3 linked regions of the Lepisosteus oculatus genome follow. The main gene of each other region encodes a partner of the protein of the gene in region 3 in a complex. Links are inferred from orthologs where the notes say so. Each region holds a gene or a part of one and is shown on either strand. Other genes may lie near its edges. The genes, in order: fsta, acvr2aa and inhbab.

Region 1 (10,983 bases), on a different chromosome or scaffold from region 3:
GAACAATGTTGACACCTGTTTATAAATGTACTGTAGGTAGGCTAGCCTGTTGCTTATAATATGATTACTGGACTAATGTAATTAGTGTGCTTTCCTTAGACTGACATTTTACACGGCATACAATGAAACAGTTCCAGTGCTTATACAGTAATATTAATGGTAATGCTTACTTTTGGTTTTTATTTCTGAAATGTTGAGTAATAACATTCTGGGACAATTATCTAGGAATAACAAACATGTTGTCAAACAGTGTTAAATGAGCACGTAAATAAAAACAGATCAATGTTTTGTTGCCAGACACCTTTGAGCATATTATGCATTTGGCTTGGCAAATAGCACAAGGACATGTGATAAAACCCACAAAAATAGCTCTCCCAAATATGAGTCCACAAAAAAAACAAGAAAAACAAGAAATTCAAAAGAAAAGCAATTGAGGTCTTTTCTGCTAGCAGTTTTCTTTCAGGCTTACTGTTCAACAACCATTAAAAGATACTGTTGGAATCTTTAAATCACACATCTAGGTGAAAGCAGAAATAAATTGCTTTTTTATTTCCTCACAGCAGCTCTTTGAGGTGCTGCTAAGATGGGGTCAACATAGACTGTATAGGCTTTAAGCTTATTTTCCTTTGACTGATGGTGTCAATTTCACTAAGGTTATACTGCAATATTATATTTTAGGAGTGAGATAGTGCCATTATTTCTCTTTACTGTTACTCACTGAGAATGAGCAAGTAATACACTAAGTAGAAACTGAATGTAATTATTTTGAACAGTTTATTTTGGCTATTTAATTGATAAGTCATTACTGTACAGCATGTCCAAATATGAAAATTGGGCAGAATACTCAAGAAATATGCATTGAATGTCTAACATTTACAGTAGCTTGGTTTGCATCACCCATTGAGTACAGTATAGGATTCAACCCCACATTTTTGGGACTGTTATAAGGATAACTATGATAACGTGAGTAAATGATTCTGCAACTCTATAATGGTCTTTTCAGTTTAAAACCATAAAAAAACTCTTGTTGCTCATTTTCTTTTGGAAAATTTCAGCAATGGTAATTAATTTCCTATTTCAAGAGCTCAATGGGAAAACAATATACAGAAATCAAAGTTGCTATTAATTTGTAAAGAAGAAGTAAGTAAAACAATCTTACACTAAATGTCTTAATATCATTTTCTACATGATCTCACTCTCATATTTTTATTTTCTTTCTGTTGCCAACCATTACAATACAGGAATATAATGAAGCGGCTAAATTATGCAATTGTATTTGCCAAGTGCAACCACTTAGTTAAAAACATCATACTGAACTGCCTGTAGCAGGTTTAGCATATACCCCACAGTATACAGTATATCATCTACATTCAAAAGCATTTATCAAGGTAAATGTATTCATAGACTTGATTTAATTGTATACTTTAGGCACTTTATGCAATAAGAACTATATGTCTCTACACATTTGCAGCAAAGTGGCCATCCATCTCTTGCTTGTGCCCTTGATTATGCTGATGTCATGTATTCAATTGTATCTCAAACTTGTCTTCAGACAAATGGACATTAATTTATAATCCAGTGTGTTGATTTGTTCCATAATGCAATTATAAGATACACATGTAAGGTATTCCAGTACTTTTCCTTTATTTTGTGTATACCATCTCATATGTTTGTCCACCTTTCTTTAATAGACACAGTTCACATTCTCCACACTGTTTACATTCGTTTACAACAATAATTAAAAAGTCACATTAGCTACATTTTCAGGAATTCTAAAACATTTCAGCATGTAACTATTCATGTTTTTGGAATGAAAAATAAGCAAGGCAGTCTCATTTTTATGATGGATACAATACATTGCATTTTGAGTTTTTCCATTAATGTATGGTTATGTCCAAAAAGAAAAGGAAAAATAGATATTTAAATGAGTTATATTTTAATATTTTAACATAATTAGCAACCTCTGATTTTTTTAAACAAAAGACTGATTTTCTGAAAATTGTTAAATTTGACAGTTTGGAATTCTTAGTTAATTATGTATTGACTAAGAACATATTCCATGTAACTATTTCTAAAGATTACTCTATTACTAGAAAAACAGCATGTATGACATACTGTATACCAAATTGGTTTATGCATCTGCATTGTTTCTGGGAAATGGTTTCTCTTCATCTTGAATGCAAGCAATAACTGAACCTCAGTGCCTCCTCTCAAGCAATAGAGGATACCCCTGGACACCCTCGTCAAATCTATTTTTAATACTTTTGTGGGTACATTTTCTGGATTGAATGGTGAATAAAAGTTAACTTCATCATAGAGGTATTTAAAGCAATCTTTGGCTGAAAATTATTTTTAACATCAGAAAATTTAAAAGAAATGCACATGCTAAATCATTGACAGATATAGAATATTTGCTATTGTTTGTTAAGTAATGAATTGTTATTTCAAATGCACATTATGAACACCCAAGAATGGTCACCACATCTTAAGGCAAGAATGACCTGAATTTATAACACTGCAGTATTGGTTTGGTCATTTTCATGTCACAGTATTCTGTAACAGGACCTCTGATCATACCAGTATGACTGTTTTCATTAGATGCTCCTCTTGCTATTGGAATGTGCATCCATTTACTGTACATACAGTACTTGTAAAGGCTGGAGTGGATGAGCACCTGGTGTAAACCTGATCTCCACATATGGTGTGATTACATTGGTAAAAAAAAAAGCACAGAGGAAAATTTTACTGTTCCATAAAACATGCTGGTGACTTCGCAGGCTATCAGATGTGTTCTGACTGCGATTTTTGTTTGTTTTAATGTGGCAGCGATATGCTCTTCCTTGATCAGTGTCTTGCTCGTTCATATTTCAACGCGAGTATATAGTTTACACATGCAGTATAACTTGCCTGTAATATGTATTTCTACATAAAGTGTTGTTTTTTTTCCGTTTAGGGCGAGCTAAACTTAAAAACCAACTTCTCATGACTTCTCAGCTGACAAGCGCGCATTTTAGATTTTTGATCATTACAGTACTACCGGCTATATATATTTTTTCAAATAATTAAGTAAAAATATAGTGTTAACTCAAGAATAATTACTGAACACACCCAAATTTATTTTCTAACTGGAGATGCACAATTACGTGTTTTAATCGACAGTTTATCAGCGAAGGTCTTAAGAAAAACACGTTGTGTTAGAAAAACATTTATTGTGTTATTTAGTTTTGTCGTAGAAGTTAAAACTGTTTGTTCCTTTTAAACAAATTATATTGTTTTCAACGGGATTTTTGCGCATATCACATTAAAAAAATATATTATCGATGTTATAAGCCAAAAGGTTTAGATACATTAAAACACTGCTTTACATAAAAACATTCTAACGGCTTTACAGGGGAAACACCATTAAAGCATTGTCTAAAGAAAAAGATGTACAGTAGGTCTGAAATCTGGAAATTCATTAATACAACTTGACATGATCTGAAAATAAAACCAAAATCCATCAGTCCATAAGCTTCTTTTAAGCACATTAGTGCTTTGAAATGACAATTGCAGTTTCCTTGTTTACCATTTTCCATCAACAAACTGAGGATTTTTAGCATTTCATTCCAGTGGGGAACCCCATGAGCATTCAAATAAAAGTTAATATCACGGCACCAAATTATTTCTGGTTCTTGTTTTCGTATTAATTCACTGTCACATAAACAAATTCATTTAAAGCGTTAGGCCTTACTGGAAAGGAGATTTTTAATTATGTTTCCACAATTTCCGTACCTTTTAAACACACATATATATACATTTGTTCCCCTTAAACTACAATTTGCCTAAAACAATAATTTGAACAAACAAATAATAGGTTTATTCCATGGTGAAAAGAGAAGAAAACACAACGTTTCGGCCGTGAAGCCTTCTTCAGGTGTCAACGTCAAACGTTGTATTTGCTTTTTTCTCTTCTCAGCATGTCATAAACCTTTACTTGTTCCTTTGCAGCCTACGCTTGCTGACGCAGCTACCCACCTGAATTGAACAAACATATCACACTTGGAATTATATCAATTCCTCTAGTAAATAATCATTGTCTGAATCAAATTAGACTACCGACAGCTAGCATCTCTTGGGTTCTGTTCATATCATTTAATCTTTACTGTGCAAACCTCTGAAAATTATTTAATGTTACGTACCACTAGGTGTTATATAAATTATTCTAAATTCTACATATCATGATAGTCTAGACCTAGATGTGACCTAAAATAAGTTGTTTTCTCGGATCAACCCTTCACTGGCGAGCATAAATTACGTGTGTGGGGGGATCCATAACACAACTATGAGCAAAGAAAGAGTAGCATATTTCTTTTACTCGTTAAAGATGTAGTACACATTGTCTGCCGGTAGAAGGAACCCGACCCGTTTTAATCGAAAGCTGACTTACAGCAATTGGAAATACCGCACACAGAAAGAGCAGCGAGTCACTGTGTGCGTGTTGCTGAAGAGGTCGCACGTGGACTTAAATCGGAACATAACAGAGGGTGCATTTGCTTAGAAACAACTATTGCTTAATGTATATTCGCTATGTAATACAATACTCCGCTTGCTCTCAAACCTATTTGGAAACGGGGATGGATAAACTTGAGAGCCTGGGTCTGAGAAACCCAAACAACTGTCTCTTCTAATATTAGCATGCCTGTATTCTGTGATCTATTATTGTCGGTCCAGGCAGATCTTATTGTAATACAGCACTTTTATTAAAAGATTAGCACTATCTTCTGCAGTTGGTGGAAAGAATATCTGTTATCACCGAGATATTTGCAGCTGGGGGAAAGTGGGTAGACCCAAAAAATCGATTGGCATTCTTCGTGCGGGGATTTATTCAAAAGGCATGGAGTTCAGGAGGTGCATAATCTTGAAAAAAGTACTGGAGTAAATAGCGTCTACGTTAGGCAATTTTTGCAGAAATGTCGCCCACTCATTTTCATAGCACAGTGCCAAGTATGTTGTAAAGAATGAGCACTCGCCTACATAGAGTAAACAAAAGCCAGACGGCTGTTAATAAACCTGCATTATAATGAAACGAAGTAATGTCTTTCGATGTTGCAATCGTAAAACCAAGGCGAAACTGCTTACAGTGATATAATATTCAGTAGTTATATTGTAATGATTTTTAGATGGCTGGGTGTTATAGAAATCTGGTCATTTTGAAGAATTTCTTTTTCAGAGTTGGGATTCATTTGTTGTTGTTGTTGTTGTTGTATAGTTCTCTTAATGTAAAGTATTCATATAAAACTATTTTTAAAACTTGTTTTAAGTTAATACCATAAACCTTCAATTTTAAAAAGAGATTTATTTCCTAATATTATTGAACATAAGAAAAAAAATCATTTTCTAATGTAAAACATGTGTAGGTGTTTTAATTGACCTTAGTTTTAATGTCAGTTATTAGGCTATATCATGATAAATATAGCCTTGCAATATCTTCCACTTTCATTATGGGACGGGCTTGGTATTCTTTCACATTGTATCAAACGCAGACGCGTACATACAGTACACAACATCCCAGACCATGCCCACTGTGCATAGTTTCCTGTACTATTGTTTTGAGAGAAAGTTTCGACTGGAGATGTCACCTGATTTGGATCGAAAGAACTTTTTTTTAATCTTACTCCCCACCCCCACCGATTAGAAGACCGCCCACCACAGACAGTCGGCCCGAGACCCCTTATAGATTTAAAAAGAGAGGCTGCATTCACAGACTGACATTCATTCAACTCAGCGATCGTAAGCAGATTACTTTTCCGCTGCCTGTTTCTTCACTCCGGTTCACTTTGCCTTCATCATGCTAAGGATGCTAAAGAGATATCAGCTCCACCCGGGCATGATTTTATTATTTATATGGCTAAGTCATTTAATTGAAGATCACAAAGTGCAAGGTAAGTGCGAGTATACAGTTATTTTTAGTAGTACATTTTAGTTGGATGCCATTTAATATTTTGAAAGACATTTGTATGGTATAAAAAATAAAGTGTCAGGTTTAAAACTTTTTCAAGACCTAACGGGTATACGCAAGATCACTTTGTATTTACTTTTAACTTTGTTCTGAACATGCAACTCAGCTTTATCTTAATGCATTAAGCGCTAACAAAACAGGTGCATTTCTATTCGTTTTTAAAATATGTATTGAATATTTGGATATTCAAGCTTTTTACCTGCATATTATATTTCACTTGACTAACTAGCCAAGCATCGGTTTATGGTAGGGTATACTTGTGCTGGACTATAAATGAAGCACTTTAATATGTATAACAGCGATAACTGTGTTTTTAGGCTTCAGATTTCCTGAAGGAAACTTAAACTGGAAAGAATAATACAATTAATACCAGAGACATAACACGTGATTTTAAGTCTTCTGCTCTCCCTGACAGTCAATTTATCTAGCAGCTCTAAATATAAGCTTCAGTTTTCAACTTTTTTATTACCCCACTTTTCAGGCAGTTGTATTAATAGACTTTACATGAAGTCTGTTGAGTCTCGTTTTGTTGGAAGACAGGAATAGTAAATAGCCTACAGATCTCACGACCCATTGAAGCTGGATGAATTAATTGCCATTGAACCAACAGAAAAGTCACATTGCTTATTTATTGGTAGTGAAGTCCCATTCCTTTCATACAAGAGCTAGCAGTGTAACCGCGATCCAAGTAGGTCAACTCGTCTCATGAAACACAGCAAAATAAATATAAACCTTGCGTGACTCGGAAAGTGTACTGCAATGACATGTCCGCCGCGTTGCACCGACTGTATGGTAATGCTGTGACTAGCAGTTAATCTTCCCAAGTGTTGAAGTAAATCCGACACTGCTGCTTTCTTCAGTGTGCTCTCACACAGAGTGCACGGACAAGGGGGATGAAGCGCAAGTGTACAGTACGCTACACATGTTTTGAAAAGCAAGTTTTCAGCTGTTAACATTTCATGCAGTGTTCTTTGTTTTAAACTGTAATTAACACCATCCATGTGATTGCAGTGGTATCTCGACATTTTAGCATTATTAACAAAACCCGTGTGATAGTAGTTGTATCTTGGTGATTTTAGTTTCTTCAATACGATTAATCATAATTTGATTTTAGGCTGGCTTTACACTATTGTACTGTGCTTTAGCATATTATTCATGCGGTACCTTGTCCCCCGTACTGTGACTCGTACTGTCCATTTGAAATCTGGTTTAAAACAGACGCGGTAGTATTGTATTGCTTTTTCCGATTTGTGTAGACGGTTGTCGTAAGGTAGGTAATCGTATTGGGATCTGACTTTGCAATTGTTAAATGTCTCGTCACGTTACAGAATCAGACAAAATACCGAGGATAAACAGACCACCATAAGCCAATATACAGTAAGCTGCACGTGTTATGTCTGGGTCATTGGCTTCCGACTTTAAGTTCTTTTTCTTTGCAGCTGGTAACTGCTGGCTACAGCAGGGAAAAAACGGAAGATGCCAGGTTCTCTACATGTCTGGGATGAGCAGAGAAGAGTGTTGCAGAAGTGGCAGACTGGGAACTTCGTGGACCGAGGAAGATGTACCAAATAGCACGCTTTTTAGGTGGATGATCTTCAACGGAGGAGCCCCAAATTGTGTACCTTGTAAAGGTACATGAAATTAAGCCCAATATATTACTATCGATGTACAGTGTATAGCAGTCTTATTAAAAAACGATTAAGTGCCAGATCAATAAATTTTATGAAGATAGCAAAGCTAGTTTGTGTATTTGTGAATAAATAATTTCATTTGGAAATAATTAATAAAAACGTGAATTCCAAGGTCATTACCCTTTTTCAATAGCTGCATGTCATTTATTGTGTTTTATTTGTGTAGAATCTTGTGACAATGTGGACTGTGGCCCTGGAAAAAGATGTAAAATGAACAAGAGAAACAAACCCCGCTGTGTCTGTGCTCCCGACTGTTCCAATGTTACTTGGAAAGGACCTGTCTGCGGGTCCGATGGAAAGACCTACAGAGATGAATGCGCCTTGCTGAAGGCAAGATGTAAAGGTCATCCAGACCTGGAAGTTCAATACCAGGGCAAATGCAAAAGTAAGTTCCTTAGTGTCTCTTGTCTTCCCCACTAAAAGATGCTGTGAATGCTAAGAAGGAGAAAGACTGTGGAAATGCACTGTTTGCAGTTGTGTGGAAATACACTAATGGTGCATAGGTCATGCCTAATAATATAATGGTGATGTTGACGATATTCAATGATATTAAACAACATATTAATAAAGAAGTCCCTTCTTTAAAAAAAAAACAACATGATCTACTTATAATTTGACTTTCTTATAGAGACATGCCGTGATGTTCTGTGTCCGGGCAGTTCAACGTGCGTCGTTGACCAGACCAATAATGCCTACTGTGTGACATGTAATCGGATTTGCCCCGAAGTTACATCTCCAGAGCAGTATCTGTGTGGAAATGATGGAATCATTTATGCAAGCGCTTGCCACCTGAGAAGGGCTACTTGCCTGCTGGGCAGATCAATTGGTGTTGCATATGAAGGAAAATGCATAAGTAAGTTATTGTCAGGTCCCATGTTACAATACCGAACTCTTCAGATCACTGTTTTGACACCTTTAAGTTTGTCTTTCTGCATTTCAGAAAAAAAGCCTCTTTTTAATCCTAATGAACATGAAAGTGCATTCCATTTTGATAGAAAATGTCTAGTTATAGACATAAGTAATATTTAAAAAAAGTTTCATGTCCTCAATTCACCCCCCAATTTAGTCTGCCACAGTTTCTCATTTTCAAACTGTTTTTTGTTATACATACCTGGGGTCATATGATGTTAAAACTTTAAAATGTTTTCCAGACCTTGTTGGCTTTGCTGTTATTAGTTGATTTCCATGTGTTCTGTCCAGATGCCAACACCCGTCTTACTACCACAACATGTAAGGGAGTAATTATGAATGGGAGACCTGGAGCCTCGTTATGCTATCATATTACATTGGTCTACATGCTTGTTATTTTGGGGAAAATATATACATGTACAGTATGTTTGTATATATGTATGTGATGGCACATCCTGATTCTATGTGATCTTAGGACGACAGTACATGTATGCCAAGCTCTTTTTATAAAACATACCCTCATGGCATACTTACTGAATCCCTTTATCTCTGTCATAAAATTAAGCCAAATCCTCATTGCTTTTAATTATATGTGGTGTTTATGAACATAAAGGGCAGTTTGCTAAGGGACTCTGTGGTGTTCCCTGGTTTTGTAGAAGCGAAATCCTGTGATGATATCCAGTGCAGCGCTGGGAAGACGTGTCTATGGGATGCAAGAATGGGCAGGGGACGCTGCTCACTGTGTGATGAAGTGTGTCCTGAGAGCAGATCAGATGAGGCAGTGTGTGCCAGCGATAACACCACGTACCCCAGCGAGTGTGCCATGAAGAAGGCCGCTTGCTCTGTGGGCGTTCTTCTGGAAGTTAAACATTCTGGATCTTGCAACTGTAAGTAAACCATAAAGTGAAAGACACTTCGATATTCTGTCAGCCACCCCTTGCAGACTAAGGAAAAGAAAAGACTGGAAATGGGAGTTGTTGCATGTCTTCTTGCACTGGCTTTATTAATTTTGCATTTTCTGCAAAAAACCGAAGTAGACATGAAGACTCATCTTTGGGAGCTATTGGGCTCCTAATTCCCTTCACATAACTAACAAGATTATATTTGAAGACTAATGTTTGCAGTTAGTGCACTCTTGCTAAGAAATTGTAGAAGAGTACATGGTAATTCTAGTAGCCTGTCCTTCAGCAGGTTGCCTTAAGACGATATACTTGCTGTCATGCTGTCAATGTAGGAAGACACATAAGTTGGCCATATCTTTACATCTTGTAAATGACACGGTCATAATGGTAATCATATGTTAACCATGTATTTATTTCCTTGCTTATGGCTGTAATCAATCATTTTAAAATCCACTGACATTGATTTCTACTATGACATACACAATTAAGCCTTTATATAGAAGCATACATTCATAATTGTACATAAGGTGATTGTAACATTGGTACCATTGCAGTTTTAAATACTAAGGGGCAATGTTAACATGATAACTAAATCAAGTAATATTTCTCAGCACAATGCAGTACATGACCTTTTTCATGTGCTGAATTACTAGTGTTACTATTAGGTACTGCAGAGGAGTGGAAGAAAATAACAACATTCCAAACAGCCAATCAGATAATGTCTTGCAAAATTGTTTTATTGTCAAATTGATATTTGTTCTTTGCCATGTCATTGTAGACTGAATGCTTTCATTTAAGAATATAATGAAAACAATGCATTTAATTTATCATCCCTTCTGTTAAACAAATAAAACAAAGGGACCAACTTTATAATCACCTAATAAATTCATTTCTATATATATATATGGCATTTTACAGTTTGCAGGATAACAGTGGAAGCTTTCAGAACTATGCTCTCTTATTTCTACTTTGCTTATTGAAATTAACATTTTAGCTGTTTTGTTTTATTTTGTTTTTGCTGTACATAGTAGATTTGCTGTCATTCTTTAAGCATCAGACTGTCCATGTGGATTTTGAGGGATTGCCTATTTGTATTATTGGTCTGCCTGTATCATTTTGCCATGTACCATGTTCTGTAGAAATACCTCACATGTGCTATCCCTGTCCTAATAGCAAAGGTCGGGATGTGGTGCAGGGTTTTGCCCAGCCCAGTAGCATTGTTGTATAATCACATTTGAAACGAAGGATACCTTAAAAAAAGAACAAAATGTAGAACACAAGAGCACTTTTTCTCTGCTTTCAGGAATCTGCTAAAAAGGCCTGAGCCATTGAGCCTTCACATCTCCCCTGTCTTGCTGCAGTTATGACTTCCTAGATTATGTCAATCATGTTGCATAAAAGCAGATGCCACAAAGCATCACTGACTGCCAAATCATATAAAAACACAAAGCTTTGCTGTGGCTTTCAGAGGTCTTTGAAAACA
Region 2 (10,611 bases), on a different chromosome or scaffold from region 3:
GGCTCTGCCTGCGATTTCCTATTGCCAACAGCACCTAACCAACTGAACCCACGCTTTGACAAGGAAGGACGGGAGCTGAGGCCGAGAAGGTTTCATGGCTGCCTTACCTCCAAGAAATATTCCTACAGCTGGTCTTCGGAGAGGCACCCTATATGCGAAGTTCAAGCACGAGTAAGCTAAGGGAGATTTCCAGTGCAGTGAAAGTAATTCAAGACAGCGGTGATGGTAACATAAAGGAATGTTTAAACCACTTGGATGCAGGCCTTTATAAACATAATACAAACAACACTCACGCTAAAGTGAATTCCTCACGCTAAAACTCCAGGTTTGATGTTTGACACAACCGCGCGATAAGAAATGCTTTCCTTGCATGACCAGCCTCCCCTTGGCGACCGAGACACACTTACCTGTAGCTTCTGAAACGATAGAAGTCCCACTACTACAACGCCGCGAAGACGATACAGGTGTGTATATATACACACACACACATTAACAACGCATAAAGCAACAAACAATCAAAGCCGTCAAAAGTTTATTCTGGACAAAATGCAACATCAGTCTTTGCCGTTGTTCGCGACAGTGAATTTCCCGCAGGTGAGCTCGCCAGTAAAACGGCCAACCTCTTTCGCGGGCAAAGCCGCAGTGTGGAGGCAGGCAAGCTCACAGATGAACAGCTGTGCGCTCGGCAGTGAAAGTGCTGCTCACTCCGCCCCGGGCACAAACCCAGCTCCCATCTTTGCAACGCAACCTCCTGTCGCCCTGGGTTCCAGTGCCACGGCCATCTCATCTTACAGCGGGGCAGATAAACCGGCAGGCCCACGGCGCGTCACCCACCAGCTCGGGAGACGGCGGGCTCGCCCGTCAACACGGTTTTGGAATTTGCAAAGACGCAGGGCGCCTGAAGATAAGACGTGGAACAACCTCCAAAAACGGAGGCTACACATGTGCGGGGTATAGAAAGAAAAAAAGACAAGGTGCTTTTTGTTACAGGCGTCGAGACATAATGGGAGACTTCTTTAGCAATTGCTACACCTCCATCCGAAACTTCAGCGCGTTTCGTGAAGTTTTCATGAAACGGCCATCACAGAGCAGCGCTGAGTCTAATCTTGCCCTGTCTCGCCTCGGGTACCCGTGCCTTTCGCCACTGCCTGGCCGACTCCACTGGTGCAAATCCCAAGAACCATTCCGCCAGCACCTTCGCACCAGGCCACACCGGGGCAACTGCGGCCCGAAAACCGCTAAACCACGACCTTCTCCAAAATGCCTTCCCTGCGTGACGAAGATCGTCTTGTACCGCCAGACACGACGAATTTCTTCCAAGACAGACACCACAGCATTTGAACAGATTTTTAATATGAATGAACCTCCTTTTTTAATATCGTTAAGCTATTCTGCATCACAGGGATTTGCGACGTAGACAACAGCAGGGAATTAAATACCCTGGTCTAGGCCAGGCGCCTCATTTTCATTGTGAGCACGAAATGTAATTAAAAATATTGACATTAAATAGCTCACACGTCGACGTAAAAACACAAGTCACACTAGATACATTTTAATGATATGATTTCAAACCGTGTTATATTTACAGTTTTCGTCAGCTTAATGTACGTGGAACCTCTCACCAGTTTACATTTTTTTGCTCATTCAAAAAAAAACCCAGATCTCCATCACAGCTCCGCGTTACTGCACCTCGATCTGGTGATTTAATATAACCAGCGCAGCCATTCAGGAAATTCCGAAACACCGTGTGCTTCTCTCGACAGAAAACTCAAAACATTCAATGCGTGTATTTGCTGGATAACAGCATAGCCCGAATCACCAAATTAATTTAAGCAGCGCAACGTGTAATTTATCTTTATCTAATTGTATTGAACACAAGCGTATCATTTTCCCTTGAGTTATAATTTGTAACAAAGCCCCTCAATCAGATAATCAGATTTAGTACAGAACTAGAATTTCAGATTTGTGGACTGATATGAAGTAACGTCTCAAACCCCAGCGTTTTGCCTGAGAAGCTCAATTTGTGCGCGATAATCTTTGATACCCGCAGACCTTCACACGACACAAAATTCGCAATTCGACTATTTCGTTTTTAGCTTGCGGCCCGCTTAAGCATCTAAACAATGTCAATTGGATGATATTTCCCCCAGCTGAATAACTATTCACGAAGAAGCAGCCCGTCTCCTGTGTGTAAGCGATGAATTGATTGATTGGCACGTCCATCCCGTGTATCTCTGTTTACAGTTTACACTTCACTGTGCCGCTCCGAAATCACGAACTGCCATTGATTTTCATGCTCCATTGCCGGGTTATTCTAAGCCAGACAATACTCAACCCGTTTACAGGTACCTGGCGAAACATACAGCGAACTTCATCTCCGCACATAAAGTCTCAAAACACCGATTTCATTGGCCACTGTGCTCCGATCTGCTCGGCATTGATACTGTAACATGTTTACATTCAAGGTTACCTCTCTGCGACGCTACAAAGGGAGTAACAAAAAAACAACCAGAGCCTCAGTGAGAGCTGCCGTGTTTCCGAGCGGCCGACAATTTCAATCGCGAAGCTGGGCTGGAGGGAGATACTGTAGTAACAGCCAAGGGGCAGACGCACACCTCCTCTCGCCCGGCCGTTCCTCCGTCGCCCTCTCCAAAACGCGGCCAAGGCGCAAGCGAAACCCCCCTACCCACCTGAGGAACAGGAGATGAGGAAAACGGCGAAGGCTAGTTTCGTCGCTGCTCCCATTTTCAGTCCGCGAACCAATCCGGTATTGCAATAAAATCCTTAAAAACGACGAAATTCCCAGGATGAGCACCCACTCGTAAAATGTCTTCTTTTATTGAGTCATAGATGTGCGCGTTTATGTTTCGTATATATATTTTTAATGAAAGCCAAGCCTTAAATCAAGGAATTAGAAATTTCTTAAAAATTTTACTGTGACAAACTGCCGCTGGCAAAGTCCCAGGGCAGGCCCCGCTCCTGAATTTTGCGTGTACAGTCCTGAAACTCAAGAGACATGTGTCACTTGACTGGCTGAGAGCATCAACATGTTTTTTGACATTTTTTTTCTTTCAAAATGATCTTATTTCGGAGACGCCACGTGTTCAGTTCGCAGATGCCCGCAAAGCCGAAGGCGCCTGGGCACCGATCAGTCCAGATGCTAGTAGTAGTAGTTGTTGTTTTGAATTAAAAATCTTCAGATCAAAAAGAAAAACATCGTCGCTTGCTGCTTGCAACAAAATACCTTTCCTTACGGACCATGCACCGAATCCCCCAGTGAAAGCTGGAGAATGTGCAATAGAAAGGTTTTAAAAATTTTTTTCTTGTAGTGTTTTTCAGTTTTCTCCAGGAATACTACAGTAGCGAACGCACAAGGCAGCAGTCATCTGTCCGAATTCTGTGACATATAGGGATTTGCATAATATCAGCGGAGTTCATAACGCATTCAATCACGACACATGGACATTGTATTCAGCCGCTGGGAGGGTGGATGCACATGTACTAATACTGGTTAAAATTCTCCCAGCGACGATAACGTCCCCCTAAAACGAGCCACTTTATCCCCCCCGACACGAGTGATCCTCCCCGAACAGAAAAAAAAAATCCTTGCTATTTGGATCTCAAGTCCACGTTTCCAAACGCCGAGTGTAAAAATGCGTGGCAACGACTTGTCACAAGCGCAGGCTTCTTCATAATTGCACCGAGGACGAAAAGGCGAGATTCCCGTTTTCTTGGTGGTTTGTTATGGGAGGGGGTGGTGGAAAACAGCACAGTCCTGTTGCTGCCTCTCGCCTGCCTGCCTGCCTGCCTGTCTGCTGTGGTGGGTAGGTACCCGATCTGAGGTGTCAAGTCCGAACCTAGCACTTCAAAATAACTTCAGTGCTCCACCAGAGACTCGCAAAATCCACCACGACGCCGGAGGAAAACCCGTGCAGTCACCTGGCCAGGCGACCCCTCGCCTCCGCGGCCAAGCTGTCAGAGAGACTCCTTGACGGCGCTGGCTCGCTTCTCTCGCCTGCCTTCCTCGCAGCCTCTCTCATTCAGCGAAAACAGACCCGATTCAAGATGGCGGCCGGCACGAATTGTTTTTGTTTTTTTTTTTCCTCCCCTCTCTCCTCTCTCCTCCTCCTCCTCCATCTCTACCCGGCCCCTCCGACGGCGAGCCGTCTCCCCGCACGGCGAATACCCTTGACTGACATCACAGCACGTCAAATCGAAAGGGAGGGGGAGCCACGCCAGCCGCCAGCCGCTCCGCTCCCTCGCCCAATCCCACGCAGGACACCCGCCTTGTGTGGAGCAGGTCGGGGCGCTGGAAGTCCCAGGCTCTCTGCAGCGCGCCGCGAAGGCGTGATTGATGGGCGCCGCTTCCTATGGCCGGCAGAGGGGCATTAACGGGCCGAGCCGTGGAGCCAGCGCTGCTGCCTGTAGTGCACAGGACTTACACGGGATGCATGCGTCGCCCTGGCACAGGCGTGGGCGTGTGCAGCACACGGGGCGATGAATCTTTTTTGCAAACCAGCGCTTGGGCATTTTTTTAACGCCGTGTCCTCCAAATCTAATCCGCCCTGGGACTGCGGAATGGTTTCACACCTGCAAACGTGCCCCCCCCCCCGCCAGTTACAGAATAAGCAGTCTTCGCAGGTTTCTGTGTTGTTCATACACGTGTTCGGTTTCGGTATTTTATACTGGTCGATATTTTGATATTAATAACCAGAGATGACATGGACTTTGCGCCTTTTGGAGAGTCCGTTTTTTTCTGAGATGTCTTATCAAAGTCACAAATCCCTGTACAGTAGAGCCAGAACAACAATTATGTTTCATATCAAAATCTACCCCGAAATACTCTTACCACATCTCATGCTTTGGTCCGCAGTGAAAGACACTTTGAAGTGTATTTATACCGGCATGTTCACGTTTCGCACAATGTTTCAAAAGTATTTTCAAAAATACATTTTAACAAGGCGGAGAGAGAAATGAATAAACCAGCTCTCTGTCTCCCAAAGCGTCTGCTACAGTGACTTATCTTGCTGTCTTTTGTTTTGGAAGACATTCCAAACAACATACAGTAGGTGTAACTCAAGAGCCCTGCAACATCCAATCCGATGACCACAGTTGTTTATTAGAAACTGGTCCCTCAATGATCACATTACTCCACAAGGGGTTTGTTATATAGGAATCAAGATGGAGGCAAACAGTTCAGATTTCAAAAGAAATGTTCTGTTCAGAGGTTAGGTGGCACTTCATTTCTGTCATCCTACAATGGGCCACTCTGATTCAGTCCTGGAAAAGTTTATTATCTTTTCTTAAGATGTGCTGCCTCTGGCACACCTGAACACGCTGCTCAGAGGAAGTGTTTCAGTGCAGTGGGTCTTGTTGGTTTCATGCTGAGACTTACGAACAGAACTATTATCCAGCTCAAACATGGATACATGCCTTAGCAGGACTTCATTAAAGGACAGTGGGATCTGCCACAAAGCCAGATTTCAGAAGGGTCTTCCACATATACAGTGTACAGTAACATACTAAATGAACTGAGTGTTTTATTGTGTTGTGAGTGTACAGTATAGGACTACTGACATGTACAGTACTGTATCGTTTCACTTATTCTATAATACAATCCATTATATTTTATAGCACTTGAAATTGTACAATGTCAGTGTCTCAACGCTCCTCTTTGATGATAGCTGCTGTTACAGTCTTCTCCAGTGTGTTGTCAGTGTAGAGTCCTCTCTGTCACAGGTCCCCAGCGCTGAGCTGTGATATTCTGCCACTGGGTCTCCACTCCTGAGGAGAAATTATTACTAGAAATCATACTGCATGTTCAACTGGTAAAGGTCAGTCTTATTTATTTAATCTTATTTAGTGCAAATTCCTTTTCCTTTAAATAAAGCACGAAAGGTCATGTATTTTGTGTACACTTTATGTATGAAAGAAATGGAGAATATTATGTACAAGTTCTTCTACTCTACAAGAAAAACTCTACTCTAAAAAACTCTACAAGTTTAAAGTACCTATAGATGACAATCTGTTACTTGCAGTTACATCCAATTTATATGATACATTTCTCTTTAAGGAGAATAGGTCTCTGTAGGTTTCAATTAAATTGATTTATTCAAATAAGCAAATGTCAATGGGAAGCACCAAAGATAATGGTTTCAAGCAAAGAGCAGACCAATTTGAGTGATATATTGACTCAAAATGGTCAGTCATCTAGGTTAATGCAAGTGTAAAAACTAAGGTTGTTTACACTTGGAAGTTGTGACACATTTCTTGATCGCTTAATGGTATTTTTTCTCCAAATAGATGATAACTTGTATGGATCAACGTCCGTACAACCATTTTGTTGAGTCGTCTGCAATCATTTTCTGAATCGTGGATATCCTTGCATAGTACCTGATTAATATTAAATCAGCAGAATTTTGATTTTTTACTATAATAATTCCTATTTACCTTCATAAAACCATGTTGTAGTTTATTCTGCTATATTAAATTCTATACTTTTGTCTTCTTTGCACAAATTCCTTTATCGGCATATATCCTAATATGTTTGAGACAGAGAGAAAGTTATATTGTTCAAATGATAAAATTACCTCTTGAAAGATCTTTACATTGAAGACAATCTTTTTGGGATTGGGTCAGAAAACAAAGGAAGAAAGTACTTGAGACAAAGTGTTTAAGTACTGTATCTCTGATACTTCAAAGTGCATTTTTTAGTTGACTTTTTCAGCGTATTTCAAGCATTTAACTATGTAGATATGCAACGGGCCTGTCTTTATTTTCTCTTTGGGAATAGCATATCATCTGATATAAGTGACTTTTATATACTCCATAAACGGTTACAAAGAAGCTTTGAAGGTTTTAATGTCGAGGGACCGGTCATTTAACTGCCGTGGCGTGCTACAACACGTTTTATATCACAGCCTCTTGTTGCTGACGATCTGGCTTGTAGCCAAAACCTGTTAGATCTTCTTTAGATCTGAAAAGGGTGGTCTTAAGACTCGCCGGGTCTAAAAAGGAGATCAACGCTTTATGAAATTTCTACAGAGGTTGCGCGGAAGAGAGTATTTTACCAGTAATAAAATAAAAACGAAGCACAAAATGTCCTGAATAAACCTTCAGCTGCTGTGCACTTCCCTTCCTTTAGGAGCAGCATTTTGAGAGAGAATCGAAGAGAGATGTCCGGGGCTCCTGTCGCCTGTCTCAGATGCTCCGTCATAAATAGGACGACGCACTTACGCGTGAAATACAATAGGTGGATACAAATCACGATTATGAAAAGAGTTACTGTGGTGATGTTGAATTTGCGGAAAGAGCATACATTTTCTGCACGAAAACGACTTTTTAAATGGTAGACCACATGTGGTCTGACATTAACAGCAACGACAACAACCATCTTCATGTGATGTAGCAGCTTTCATGTGGAAAAAAATCCGCAAATGTTTCCCCAGAATAAAAACAGATCAGCGATAATAAATATAAAAGCAGTAAATACAGATCAAAAAGTCCAACATTCCCGATAAAACATTTCCTGTCCTGTGTTTACGTTACCCTTGAAAAACATGCAAAATGATTTTAGCCGATTATTTAAGATGTTCACGAGAATGAGTTGTGCTTTTTTCTATAAGTTCTAAATTTAATTGTATCAAGTAATATTTGCACAGTAAAGATATATAAATCATACAAATAAATAGATCTAAACTTAACCAATTTACCACAAGTGCTGTTTTATGTTTTAGGGTATTTACATATTGATTTAAATGTGTGCATAACATAATATCTAATATAAAATTACAAAGCTTTTAATTCTGTAATATTTGATTTACATTTATGCCATTGCGTACAATATGCATGTGTCGGAGCTACACTACCAACACACTGCGTTCCCTAAAGGGTTGCCGTTAAAGTACGACGTGCCCTGTTTTATAAGTTATATACCGTATTTGTACCACTTTACAAAACCTTCGAGCTCCCCCTTTAAAAAGAGCGAGCTCGGACGGCCTGGGATGGTTTCGTTTTGAGCAAGAGAAACGTGATTTCAGAGTGGAGCTGCCAGTGGCCAACCTGCATCACACAGTGGACCCCCCCTTTACTGCCGCTGCACGTTATATAAACAGCGTGTTAATCCCACACCCACACCGCCGCACTTCTGAGCCGGTGCTGTTGACCTTGAAACCGGCGCATTAACTTGCAGCGCGCTTTATTTTAAGCTTTCCTCGCGGAATAGAGTCTTCACGCCGCCGCCCCTCCCCCACGCACTTACTGTAAATCCTGGGTTACAAAATCTATACGTTCCTGTGCTTAGTGATTGTAATAGGATCACCCCCCCCCCCCCCCCCCCCCCCCCATTTAAGACGGCGAGGTTCTTAATGTATAAAAATATCCACCCAACGCTGATTTTGTTTTTTAGGAAAATCTTAAAAGCGGGTTTACACCAAAAGATAAGGTTAATCGTGTAGTCGAAGTCGAAATTATGAGGCCTTCAGTCATCCCCTTGTAGCTAAGAAGCTGTTTATAAATGCGAAGAATTCCTTATCCAGCTACGTACGTTGCCTTATACCGAACCACCCTTTCCTCTACAGTCCAGGCTCTTTGCAGTTAATCAATACTAATGAAAACATAAACATTAAGAATTAAAACTTAGAATTTATGGAGCTTTTGTCGTGGCTGTTGAACTCCACGTTCTTTTTTAACGTGAAAGTGCCCTCTCTGAGCAAGCGATACGTCTGTCACACTCCGAAGTTCGGACACTATCGTTTATTTACTGAGCATGTTTGGTTTAAATTCCAGACGCCTTTGGAATATCTCATCATTCGAAGGCACCCTCTTTGTGCTCCGTGGTGATTATATCTGAGTTGCATTTCACTGCTTTGTAATGTCCAATTTTCATTGTAAATCGCAAAGTTTTAACAGATCACATTCAGTTAAAGAATCTGAGATAAACTTGTGCTGAAGTTACAGTAGGTTACTGTAGCTCAATGGTTGTAAGCATTTTGCTAAAAATACAATTATTTTTTTAAAATCTGACAAGACACGGGCTCTCTAGAATGCTGTGATTATCCGAAATGCATTGAAACACAAGCTCGTGTCATTTCCTCATTCCTTAGTGTCAATTCTTATTTCTCATTATCACTTTTTAAGGACTATAGCAATCTGAGATAGAACAAGTTCCATTGAGTGATAAAGCTGACAAGGTGAGTGAGGTGAAACATTTTCACATTTTTCAAACTTTGCTTTGGTTGAGGGTGTGAGTGATTAATGACCCTACCGAATAATCAGAATTGCTGTTTTCCCCTCTTACGTACGTGTGGCATTTGATAAAGAACTGCACACTGTTCCCTGTGCTTGAAGCTGGGGTTTTGTCAGCATTAAAACGTTTGGAATGCTGATCTGTCAGCGGTAATCTCTCACTGTGGTCTTCTAGGGCTCCAGCAACCTCATTTTACCCACAGAAATGTCAACAGGCACGTAGCTTTTAAAAACATTATTCAGATCAAGGAAGGAGAAAAGTACAGTGTGATATTTTTGTATGATTAACTCATTTTAAAGTAAAATGCAAATAAATTGTGTAACGCGAATATTGATAGCCCATTCATCGAGACCATGCTACACAATGATTCCGTTCAGTTTGGGGGTCTGGTGTTGTGAACTCCGTGCTTTCACGGCCACGAATGAGCAACAACTGTAGACTCAACCTTTCCCACGAGTTCCTAATTCTTGCCCACAAAGGTTGCATTTGCATTTTAAATAATACCCTCACTGGATGAAACGCCGCATCGTCCATTTAACGCATTTCAAGTAATAAATTGCTTTTGAATTCCCTTCTGTCAAAAAAAAAAACTGCTCACACATGTGTATGGTTGAACTTTTGTAAAATTATGAAACCTTTTGAAACCTGAGGCACGGAAAGTAGGCAAAACCCACACAGGAAGCACTAAGTACAACCAATCGCATTTCATTTGTGGAATACATTTTGAAACGGTTTAGAGAAGAGGTTCTGGACAAAGGTATAAGTTAGCGGATTTAATTTCAGCCCGATGTGAAGATGTCCTAGTATTAGCCACGTTCTTTATGGTCGTGAACAGTATCATTATACTTTAGACACCTTTTGTTGTTCAGAAGCACTTCTAACAGGTCACGTTTTCTCTTAACACCCGTGCTCATGTTACACGCATGTAACATCATTATCATGTGTAGCTGAGTTAACGATTGGTAAAGGGTTTGCGTTTCATGCCTAAACATTTCACACTTTTTTTTAAACAAAATTTTCAGTTCAAAGACAAATTATTAACAGAGCCTCTATTTCTACAGTACTATGCTTCTAAAAAAAACCCACGTGGTATTCCAAAGGCCACTGAATTTGTATAAACAGGTAGCTCTTTTCAGATAGAGTTCCAAGCTTGTCTCTATTCAGCTGCCACAGGCCACCTTCTGAGAACATCCACGTTCAGGGACCTTTCAGAGAGAGAACGCCGTGGTCAGTCTAAACTGGAAGGGGCATCAAAACAACCTTTCGCACTCCTCAAATAGCAGCCTGGGCCTGTCTGCCCCCCTCCCGACTCCCAGTCGCGGTCTTTGAGCTCAGTCTGGACTGTCAGGACAGAGATGAGAAAA
Region 3 (10,885 bases):
GTCTTGTTGAACTGCTGCATTGTACAAGGTTGGACTGTGAGAAATTACTGTTAGCTTTTTGGGGGTGTAATTTATATTGCACCTAACTTATTACTAACAAGTGCTTTGAGAAGTCACCTTTAAAGCTGCTATATAAAATAAAGTGTATTATCATTATTATTAGGCATATTGCTAAAATGTATTTCAATCATATGTTTCTCAAAAGCATATATGAAAACAACAAACAAAAATTATCATTACAGATATGGTACAGAAACCAAATTTTAAAACTTATTTGAAGAATATTGTTATGCAGACTGTTGAGCTCCTAAGTGCTGACAATTTAGTATGAAAGATTCTTTCAAGACCCCTCTTGTATAAAATAATGCCCAAGGCCTCTACAATCGTTTAGGAAACAAGTCATTTTTAATATTATTAATAGAACTTTGAAATCAGAGCATTAGGCTCTAAATCTCACAATATTAATCTCAATAAGAAAAATTGTTGTCGACTAAGAAATCACTTAAAGTCTTTCTGAGGATGACTTACTTTACTTACTGAAGTTCTACTGGTAAATCAGGTTTGTAGTGAGAATCTAGAGCTAATCAAGAGCATCACATTAAGTGGTCCCTTCAATACAATTTTAGTCTGATTGAAAACAGAAAAAGGCAGATGAACCCAGCACTTCAAGTGTATAAATTATCATTTGACCAGGTTTTTTCTCTGTGTAGGAAGTGGTGGAATCAATGGCTTTATTATGTCTGACATTAAAAAAATGAATGGTTTAATAAACTTTAAATGTTCTTAATGATTTAACAGTTAACGTGTGTGTTCTTTTGCTAGGTTCACAGTAGGTAAGAATTGTTCAACTGTGTTGGATGGATGGATAGATCTCGTACCTAACAATATATAGTGTATGTATGTCAACATTAAACTGTTGAGATTGTCATGTTTTTTCATTCAATTGTTCTAAAACACAAGAAACATTTAAGAATGGAAAAAAAATACCTGCAATACATGTTTCCTAAATTTGTGAAGATTGTTTCCTCTTTTGTAGCTTTTGTTAAAATACAGTACATTATTTTTGAATTATATCATACATACACTAAATATTGTTAGGTACGAGATCTATCCATCCATCCAACACAGTTGGCAACAAGAGCAAGACAGGATACACCCTGGACGAGACCACAGTCCATCACAGGACACACACAGGCACAGACCTGCACACACTCACACCTGGATCACTTTTTCAGGTGCCAGTATGTCTTTGTACTGTGGGAGGAAACCGGGAAACCTGGAGAAAAACCATATGTACACAGGGACAACATACAAACTCCACACAAACAGCACCCCAGGACTTTATCCCAGGGTCTCACCACTGCGAGGCTGGTTATCCAAAGCACCATTGTGCCGCACCTTAGATATAATATATATATATTAAATTGTATTTTAGGATAAATTCTCATAGCACACAAAATGCCACGAAGTGCAGACAAACTATATTTTTACTCATTCATGTTATTTGGTCTATAATTGTAAACCATCCCATTGACAAGTTCCTGTCTGAAGAATACTGCTACATTTGGCTTCACCATGTAAAGCTTCTGTGGCAGAGCTAATTCAGCACAGTTGTATAGAAATTTGGCAAACACGCAAGTTAACAGGGAAATCCAAGACTTTTACTCATTTAAAATTACTGAGTTTATTCTCAGAGATCCAATCAAAAGTAATGCATTACTCTGACCCATTGTTAAAAATGTTTTTCTTACTAATCAAACATTTCTGAGAGCAGCAGAATGAGATCATTTCATTAATTAGCAGTAAAAAGTGGCATGTACTGTATTTGTAGCTGCATTATGTCACATTCAGCTAGCTCAAAATAGCATCAAATAACATATCTGATACTATATCTTCTTAATAAAAAAGTATCAGTTATGAGATCAAAATGTTTTAATCATTTCACCACCCACCCTATCTAGCACAAACAGCAGGATAGCCACAGTGATGCTTCATGGTTAGAAAAAGTGAATCATTTAGCAAATGTTCCCCCTCCTAAAATTGTGAGGACTTAAGTTCTGAGCACGTCCTCCATTCCAGCACTACATCATTCTGTCCTGCCTCCAGGACAATTCAGCACTAACTATACTTTAGAGATAGTTTGCCCCCTAGTGGGAAAAAAAAAACATGGTTGTCCCTTCCAACTATTTTTAATCAACGAGCTTCCAAAAATATTAATTTGGTCAGGCAAAACTTTAGTAATGCCTTCTAGCTCAACTGTAAGTTTTTCATTAAAAAAAAACTTGTGAAATCTGATAATACAGCAATGCTAGAAACGAAATAGGGAAGTCATGGTGATGTTTGTAAGATAGTAGATGGAAAACAACATTATAGTGAAAATAATACTATATATGCATATCTACCATAATGAAATTTATCTGTGTTTGCTTTTGGCTGCAAGTTAGAAAATGGGTTTAGCTGGCACTATGAACCACAGAATTTTGTTCTAAGCACTCATAAGATAAGAGACAGGGGGGAAATCATTATAGACAGACAAATTTAGTTCATTCTACTGAAAAGGAAGGCCAGTGTTCAGAAATTGCTCTGAAGATATGAGAGAAATAGATCTAGTTACTACCAGTCATGGGGGAATCCTCATGTAGTTCTGCAAGACTGTTGCAGGTATTATCCTAATAAGATAAGGCTGAAATGTAGATATTTTGAGAGGAGATGAATAAATCAGGCCAAACAATCTGAGAAGTGTGTGTGGGGAGGTAAAATTTGGTATGATAAATACAGGATGTAAAAATGACTAAAATAAAGCCTTTAAACAAATTTCACATGACAGTTCAGATTAGACAGAACCACCTCTCGCCTTTCCAAAAAGTAATCTTGCATTACATTGTTCATGTGTTAATGTTATATAATTGTCTACATTTGATCATTCACATCTTCTTCAAAAATGTTATTTTGTCAACTTTTTCCTCCAAGAGAAGAATAATGTTTTAGTCCAATGCAGAACTTTTTTTTTTTCTTGAGATGTGGGATGTAAGCAGTCCTACCAATATTTGCCCTTAAAGGTCTCCACCTCTATATGACTGAGCTGCAACTGTATTATTCCTCCTCATTTTTTTCCCCTTTAGGCCAACATTAATAACAGAGCTCACACCCATGCCAACGAGGAGTCACACTGCATCTGCAGGCCTACTCTGAGTCCCAGGATGATGAGAGTGATGGGATCACCACTCACATCCCTCCAGATCGAAAGCAGGCCAACACTAGTAATATTAAGCCATCTGTCTGTGCTAATCAGCTACAACAGCTGCAATACTGAGGGCTGACAAGAAAATGGGGAATATGCAGGAAAAAATAACATAATATTAATAACATCCCACTTCTTCAAAATATTGTTTGACCTTAAGAGGTCTGATCACAAGCATTCCAAGGAAGTATACCCAACTCCAGGCCAGCATCACTCAAGATGAATTTAATATGTACTGAGAGCATGAAGATGGCGCAAGTTCTGAAATTAATTACCTACCCTGCGGAGCATGAAGTTGAGAGGTAACAGAAATAAGAGAACAGGAGTTGTGAAGAGCACAGTAATAGTTGTTAGGTTGCTAGGTTACTGAAATTTGGGTGAAAGAAACATTTTTTGCCAGCAGAGGCTGCTGCTGAGTTAATTGACCTCACTAGTTCATATGGACATAACCAAAATACCTGAATAAGTCAATGTAAGCTGTGCAGTTGCTAAGTCTTTACAAAAAAGGAAAGAAAGAGCCCAGAATGCATGTCCTTTGAGATTTCTTCAAAGAAATCAAGAGCACGTTTGTTCATGTCTGTTAAGTAAACTAAAAAATTAAAAGGAAACAAAGAACAATGACTATTCTCTTGCTTAAAATTTTCTAGAAAGTGTCAAAATGACTTCTAAAGTACAGTATAAGAGAGCTGAAGAAGGCACACACTGCAAAGTCATTGGAGCCGGACCACAGGAAAACCCTGGCCAACCTCAAACCCCTGGCAGTACTTTGTCAAATGTGACGTTTCCTCTGGGAAACCCTGACCAGGGATATATGTAGCTCATGACATTGCCTAGATTTGAACCAGTGATCTCTGAACTGCAGTACAGGGTCCAACTTGTGCTCCAACAGGAGGCCATAGCCAAACCATTCAGGAACCTAGCTTATGGTTTTGAGAAATTTCCTTGTCAGACTTTTTCTGAATGATTGTTAAAAATGAGTTGTGGTTATACAAAGCACTTAGTCACAAAATGACATTTTTTCAAAAGCAAGTACATCAGGAAACGAGGAAACCTTTACTTTCCAATGTGCTCCTTTCTGACTAATTGTTTAGTGTGTGTATAGTTGAGCTTTAAACTCAAAAACATTTTGTTTAGAAGAACAATAATAATCTAGACAAAAATCAAGGTGCTGTCTTCAAAGAGGTTATTTATGATACAGAGGAAGTGAGTTACAAAGTGATAGGTATTTCATGTATAACTATGTCCACTGGCCCAGCGCAGCAAGAAAGGCTAATTTACAGATTTTATTCAGCATTAATAAAACCTTACCAGATGTTCACAAATGTTTGCAGTGAAATGCTTCTAAGATAATACACATAGTTTCCTTAATATTAAATCATCAAAAATGCAAAAAAGAATCGATTATGAATGATAACATTGATTGCACCTGTACAATTAGACCCAGTTGGACAGTATCAAGCCTTTTCACACGTTAATGATATATTTTTGTAGTTAAATAAATGAGAAGCTTGAGAGAAGCAGAAAACCAGAACAAGATAAGAACATGAAAAGGAGGTGAAGTTTATGTATAATATGCAGGGTGACAAGCAATAAAAAAAAGAAAAAGTTGGTATAACATGACTCAGAAGTATAGTGATAGAAAAACTGGGAGGGAGCGAGGTATAATTAGAGGGAGAGAGAGTGAGAGAGTGAGTGAGCTAACCCTGCCCACTTATACAAAACCATTCAGCTCATACACAGCGAACTCACTGAGACCTATCGGGTGCTCTGCACATCCCTCCAGCACTACACATCTACACTGCCACAGAACTTCAGCTGATAAACTTAGAAAAACTTTTTTTGACTAACTGATCAAGACTTCGGTAGCTACCAGACTCAAACTTTCCAGATCTGCAAAGTGTTTGCTCTTGCTTCTTTATTTTAAAAAAAGGGATTATACTTTATTTTTGCTTAGTTTCTACTTTGTTTTTTTTTTCAGTTTTAGTGTAAAAAGGGGGAAAACTTACAACTCAGATTGACTCTTTCAGGATGTCTTTTTCTCTGCTGAGTGGAATGTTGTTGCTCTTCTCTGGGATTTTGGCAGGGAGCTCTCCCACCCCTGGCTCCCCTGATGGACACACGCCGGTCACCGACTGTCCCTCTTGTGCCCTCTCCAAGCTGCAGAAAGATGTGCCTGCCAGCTCCCAAGCAGATATGGTCGAGGCCGTCAAGAAGCACATCTTGAGCATGCTGCATCTGAAGGAAAGACCCAACATCACCCACCCCGTGCCCAGGGCAGCCCTGCTGAATGCCATCAAAAAACTACACGTGGGAAAAGTTGGCGAGGATGGCAACGTGGAGATTGAGGATGAGGCTCACAGCCGGGCAGAGATGAGCGAGCTGGCGGAGCAAACTTCGGAAATCATCACTTTTGCTGAGGCAGGTGAGTAGCCCATGTCTGAACTGAGGGGGGGAGATTTAATGGCAAGGTGTGGAAGAGGGCAGGTCTTCAACCCAGTTAGACAGGTTTGTAAACATAATTCTCTTGGAAGCAGCTGAGGCTGAGGAACAAGCCTAATGCACTAGAATTTAAGATTTTAAGACCTGTTATCTAAAACTGTACTCAGGCACCCCTCTTAAAGGTATTTTGTTGCATCCTACTGATTGAAGGCTAGATACCCAATTACCTACTAAAACTACGTTCACAACTTCAGCACGTAGAAGATGTGAATATTTGTGATTCCTGACTCTTCAGAGCTGTCTATTTGTCACCTTTTGTACTGCAGGGAGACAATTTCATAGAGTGCACTCCAGCATTCTCAATAACTGAAGAAAATCCTCCTGACTGCTGCTTCTTACAAAGTGTGCCTGTTAGCACAGTTCAGGAGTCAGAGACCCCTACTGTTTCACAGTAAATCTAACGTCTAAATGTTTTTTTACAGAAAATGCACAGTCCAGATAGCAATTGGACTCAGCATTGAACAACAGACCCTGTTGTCCTGAAACATGCCACTTTTTTAATGTGGGAAAAGTAACATTGCAAAAAGTCAATTCCTCATTATATTGGCATAAAAAAGTACACATACATTCACACAATCAACTAAATGAAATGAAAGAATGAAAAATTTGAATGAATATTCTGTGCTATGACAAAAAGAGCAAAAGAGGGTTCTGACTAGTAGGTGGGAGACCCAAGTTCAAAGCAAGCCAAAACTCACTGAGCCTGACAGTCTTTGAAAATCAACAGCTTAATCTGAAGTGATTAGATAAACTTGCTTGTAGAGAGTATGTAAAACTCCTTAAATTAACAGGATTAATTTGGCAGCAGGAAGCCCTGAAATGAGCTGTAATGAGAAAAGTCTGCTCCACAAAACTGTATGGCAAAGAGCTTCTATTCATTGTATTCATTGGCAGTGAATGACACCTGTACTTTGCTCAAGAGCTCTACAGATCAAAAAGTGGACTGTACAGATTAACAAAATAAAAGAACACGAGAGTTCACTGAAGTGGCAATGTTCTGGCAAGGCGTGCACTGAGACCAATTGTTTGACTTTAATGAAAGATTTTTACTACACCAGTATAATGATGTCAAGTTGTTCAGAGGATGTTAGGAGTACTGGAGAATCTGCATTTATGAAACTTAATGACTGAGAGCCACTGTATTCAGCATGTTCATGTCTAACTGACTTTCAACCTTTTCTAATTATTTTCAAAGAGGAATTTTTGCAGTTAAAAATATGGTAGTTATTTAGTATACTACAAACTATGTTTTTCATTGTTAAACAGTAAGTATACAGTAAATAGTCCTAAAACTTTTGTTTCTAACTCATTTAGATAAAACTTCAAACTGCGCAAAAAAGCATGAGATACAAATTGGATACCTGGATTTACACAGTAGTGCCAGAAGCAGATATTTAAAATTAAAATGATTGCATTTGTCACTTGTAAAACAATTTTGAATGAGTATCTTTTAATTTCTGGCATGTCCCAGTATTCTGCCAAAGGGATTTGTGCTACAGTAGTTATCGATTATCTAATTCAGAAAGCTAAGTTTTTTACCTTTTTTTTCTGGGCGAAAAAAGGTTGACATTGCCTACTTTCTGAGGTTCCAAACCTATATTGTATTGCAAATCAGCATGCTACCTCACTTGATGACTGGCCTACGTGACCTCACCGTTGACCTTATTAATGACAGAACAATCTCACCCAAGTCCTGCTGCTAAACTTTCTTTGAGGCACAAACAAAGTCGGTTGACTTTTAGTCCAATAATGAGCAAGCACTAGTACTTCAGGTACCGAAATCTCTCATATCAAGTCTAGTAAATGCAGTGGAGCTTTAATCTATCATGATGCATGCTTTCGACTTCCTAAACATCAAACGGTCCATAGACGAAATGCCGCAAATTCTGTTGTACGCAGCAGTAACACACGTGTGTAAAGTGGTCATAGGACAAATCCAGGTTTATATTGCCATCAAACACGTAAAACCTGCAACACTTTACTTCAAGTGCTTTGAAGGGCTGAAGGAAGACGGTTGTCAGATACAGTATACGCAAATCTTCCTTTCCATAGCCTTAAAGAAACATGAGCATCAGAAACATTTTCTTTTGGAGATAAGTAGACCTAAGACGTACAGTGTTTTGGACTCGTTAGTAACCCATACTTGATATTCGTAAAATATTGCAAAAAAAAACCCCAAATTGTATTTGATTAATTCGGCGAATTGCATTTTGTTGACTTTAACTATTACATTTATGCTCATCCCGCTTTATTGTGAAAATAAAATAACGTCAGGCTTGCTACAGTATGCTCATCAATTTGAACAGCTCTTACGTTTAAATGTCATTACTGACATGAAACAGATTTTATTTTAGATTTCACGGAACACTCGTCAAATTACATTCCAACCTCACTGCTCCCAATGGATTAAGCAGAAATGCCAAAGCTTCATTAGTGTTACTTTTTTATCTTAAAGGTAAAACAATTTAACGTGCGTCCTTTCAAGACACGTGACCCATACGTTAATATTACCTTTAAAGAAATCCTTACGGGAAAGATGCGGCTCGCTTGCACAGCAACTCTGTGCGTCCATGTTTTCAAATAAATCGTGGACATACCGAGAACTCTTATTCCTTATGATCTATACAAAGTAAGCCTGACGTAAATCCTCTGATACATCGATAAGAAAAAGATAAAGAGTCTTACCCGATTTAAATGCAGATAAGAAGACCCTCCTTTCACAACCTTTATCCACTATTCATTTTTTTCTCACCAAAGAAATGCTTGCCGTCAATTTTTATCATTTTTACATGCGATTCCGCACGAAAACCACAAGAGGGAACCGCTGACAGACGGCTGTACTTGTCTGTATACCTCTAATAAAATAAAAATAACCAAAACAATAAAAAAAAAATCTAGGCTTAAACGTCCAAACAGGGATTTCCTCGTGACTAGTACATCAGTATTCTGATACCAGTTTTAATTTCCATATTCTTTTTGAAAAAAAGTATCTTCATGCATGCCATGGAAAAAAATGCTATTAACACATACTGTACAGTATATACAGTACAGTGTATACTTGTTTGACATTTCATATCGTCCTCCTTTTAAACTAATTGATTTTGCTTATTTTTGCAAACATTCAATTATATGGCAATCTTCAACTGAATTGTTAACCATTTTATTTTAACTAATCCCCAGATTCTGTTTTATAGTACAAAAATAGCCTTTCAGCTTTATGACTATTAAAGAGAGGAAAGAGGAGACGATTTTGTTAATGACAAGGAGCACCTCAGAAAAATCAAAGGCGTTATAATAGAAAACACTAGTGGAGGTATTAACTAAATTGTTGCTGCTTCATAATACCCACTGTGTCTAAGATAAGTAAGCACAGTGGTGAACATCTCTATACACCACTCATACTGTATGTTTTTGTCATCAGGAATTGCATTGCTCATATTTCCATAAGAATGATGCTCATAATAGCTCTTCACTATTAATAGCTCATGAGAGCCGTTACATTAAAACTTCAGTGCACACTTTTGTCCTATGAGGTTTCGTAATCAAAGAATGGAGATATTAACAATGCAACACAGAGCACAGAAGCAGACTAGAAGCAGGCTGCGCAATTCTTCAAACAATGCTGTGCTTAATTGCTTCATTCAGAGAAATGCAGGCCCTGATACTTGGTTAAGCCTGCCTATCATGCTGATGAGCAGTGTGACCGACTTTGAAAGAGTTTCAGGCAGAGAACACACTGAACTTGATGGTATGGAGAGTTCACCAATTACACTACAGTTTATTTCCCTGAATGAAATAATTAAACTGAACATCATTAGAGGAATTCCACTATAGGCGTCCTGTGACTCTTATTCAAAGGTGTACACAGTAGTTTGTTTCAAGAGTTAAATGTCCCTGGGGAATTCTGTCATTGAGTAACAGAGGGTCTCAAAATATTTTCCTGAGACAGGTGATATTACAGATCATAATCAAAAAGCAGTCATTTTATATTAATTTTAAAATGTGAGTTGCATTTTACAGTCCATTCTCATACATATTTTAAGAATCTTGCAATACATTCCTTTGATGCAATAATTGTGCCATCTATGTACACTCTAATGCATTTATTTCTAGACAGTTATCTACTGTAACATAAATCTATGAATACATTTAACTTTAATATGAACAATTAATTATATGTATGTTTAAATATTCTGAATGTTTATTGCATTACAATTTGCAAAATTTAAGATGCTCTTTGTTTTGGAATCTTGTTCAACTTAATTTTATTTGGAATGGGTTTGTTGGCCTTAAATTTTGTTAATACTGTAGCAGGTCTAGCAAACATGATTTTTTTATAATATCTGATATAATACAACTTGGATTTTCTATAGAAACAATACATTTGGACCACCTGACTGTAGCTGAACATCAAAAGTCAAGTTTTGCAAAAGATTACAGCAAGGGACGTACAGCTAAATTTACAAGTCTACAATTTCACATATGTTCTTTTTTCACAAAGAAGCCCTAGAGCTATATAAATGTAAAGGTACCGCTTAGCCATATTGAAAGGAGTTTTGGATCACTATTAACATTTCTTTTAACAGTTCACAAAAATAGACATATGGTTAATGGAGGAATTTAAAGTTTATTTATTTTTAATGCAGGAATCCATTTAGCTCTTTTCTATTAGGCTACATGGCATCTAAGGACAAAACACAAATAAGTTTTAGGAAAGTTGATTTTATACTCAAAGTCCTACTCTTTTAACAAGAAAAGACCTTTTCAAGCCAGCTGTCATCAGGAACCATTTCTGCAACCCAGCCAAAAACAAAAGTATGCCAAAGGCCATTTACTGTACGAGGAACATACAGTAGTACAGTGTCTCTCCAGGTTTTGAAATCTCCATATGCTGTCAAGAAATAATTGTAAAAGCAGGAGTACCTTGGTTACTGATAAGTTATTTTTGAAGTTTATTAAAGTGCCTTCAACACAACGATTTTACTTATTATCTGATGAAGTTCAGGTTTTCTCAGCTGCAATATATTATTCTTATTATATTTCAAATTATTAAGATCATCCTTGTAAACTTGTAAATAATCAATAGCATACAGTATGAACATATTAGACAGGGAGTTAAGCATTTATAATTTAGTATTGAAAGAA

The links.
Region 1: the proteins of inhbab (region 3) and fsta are in contact, whole or in part, in a crystal structure (PDB 2P6A), measured with the Homo sapiens proteins. The link is inferred for Lepisosteus oculatus from reciprocal best matches to the Homo sapiens genes INHBA and FST. Residues at the interface, in NP_002183.1 of Homo sapiens: Asp315, Phe327, Asp337, Trp338, Ile340, Ala341, Gly344, Tyr345, His346, Gly360, Thr361, Gly363, Phe368, Thr371, Arg397, Ser400, Leu402, Tyr404, Asp405, Asp406, Gly407, Gln408, Asn409, Ile410, Ile411, Lys412; in NP_037541.1 of Homo sapiens: Trp33, Arg35, Val44, Leu45, Arg60, Phe76, Met79, Asp135, Glu152, Pro154, Glu155, Val180, Val181, Asp182, Gln183, Tyr188, Val190, Arg221, Thr224, Cys225, Arg229, Ser230, Ile231, Gly232, Leu233, Glu328.
Region 2: the proteins of inhbab (region 3) and acvr2aa are in contact, whole or in part, in a crystal structure (PDB 7U5P), measured with the Homo sapiens proteins. The link is inferred for Lepisosteus oculatus from reciprocal best matches to the Homo sapiens genes INHBA and ACVR2A. Residues at the interface, in NP_002183.1 of Homo sapiens: Ile340, Ala341, Pro342, His346, Arg397, Pro398, Met399, Ser400, Met401, Leu402, Tyr404, Asn409, Ile410, Ile411, Lys412, Asp414, Glu421; in NP_001265508.1 of Homo sapiens: Asn36, Asp53, Lys56, Phe61, Thr63, Lys65, Val74, Lys75, Cys78, Trp79, Leu80, Asp81, Asp82, Ile83, Asn84, Val100, Phe102.

The regions. Positions count from the first base shown.
Region 1 is NC_090698.1:38,662,797-38,673,779, reverse strand, and holds the start of fsta (follistatin-A), read left to right. Parts: upstream 1-5,671; 5' UTR 5,672-5,827; coding exon 5,828-5,921; intron 5,922-7,437; coding exon 7,438-7,629; intron 7,630-7,855; coding exon 7,856-8,074; intron 8,075-8,317; coding exon 8,318-8,542; intron 8,543-9,254; coding exon 9,255-9,485; coding exon of another isoform or gene 9,486-9,493; intron 9,494-10,803; coding exon of another isoform or gene 10,804-10,805; exon of another isoform or gene 10,806-10,983. UniProt on the Homo sapiens protein: Multifunctional regulatory protein whose primary function is to antagonize members of the transforming growth factor beta (TGF-beta) superfamily including activin, myostatin, GDF11 or bone morphogenetic proteins (BMPs).
Region 2 is NC_090707.1:2,721,206-2,731,816, reverse strand, and holds the start of acvr2aa (activin receptor type-2A), read right to left. Parts: upstream 4,336-10,611; 5' UTR 2,746-4,335; coding exon 2,691-2,745; intron 1-2,690. UniProt on the Homo sapiens protein: On ligand binding, forms a receptor complex consisting of two type II and two type I transmembrane serine/threonine kinases.
Region 3 is NC_090701.1:16,470,934-16,481,818, forward strand, and holds the start of inhbab (inhibin subunit beta Ab), read left to right. Parts: upstream 1-5,269; coding exon 5,270-5,663; intron 5,664-8,425; exon of another isoform or gene 8,426-8,647; intron 8,648-10,885. UniProt on the Homo sapiens protein: Inhibins/activins are involved in regulating a number of diverse functions such as hypothalamic and pituitary hormone secretion, gonadal hormone secretion, germ cell development and maturation, erythroid differentiation, insulin secretion, nerve cell survival, embryonic axial development or bone growth, depending on their subunit composition.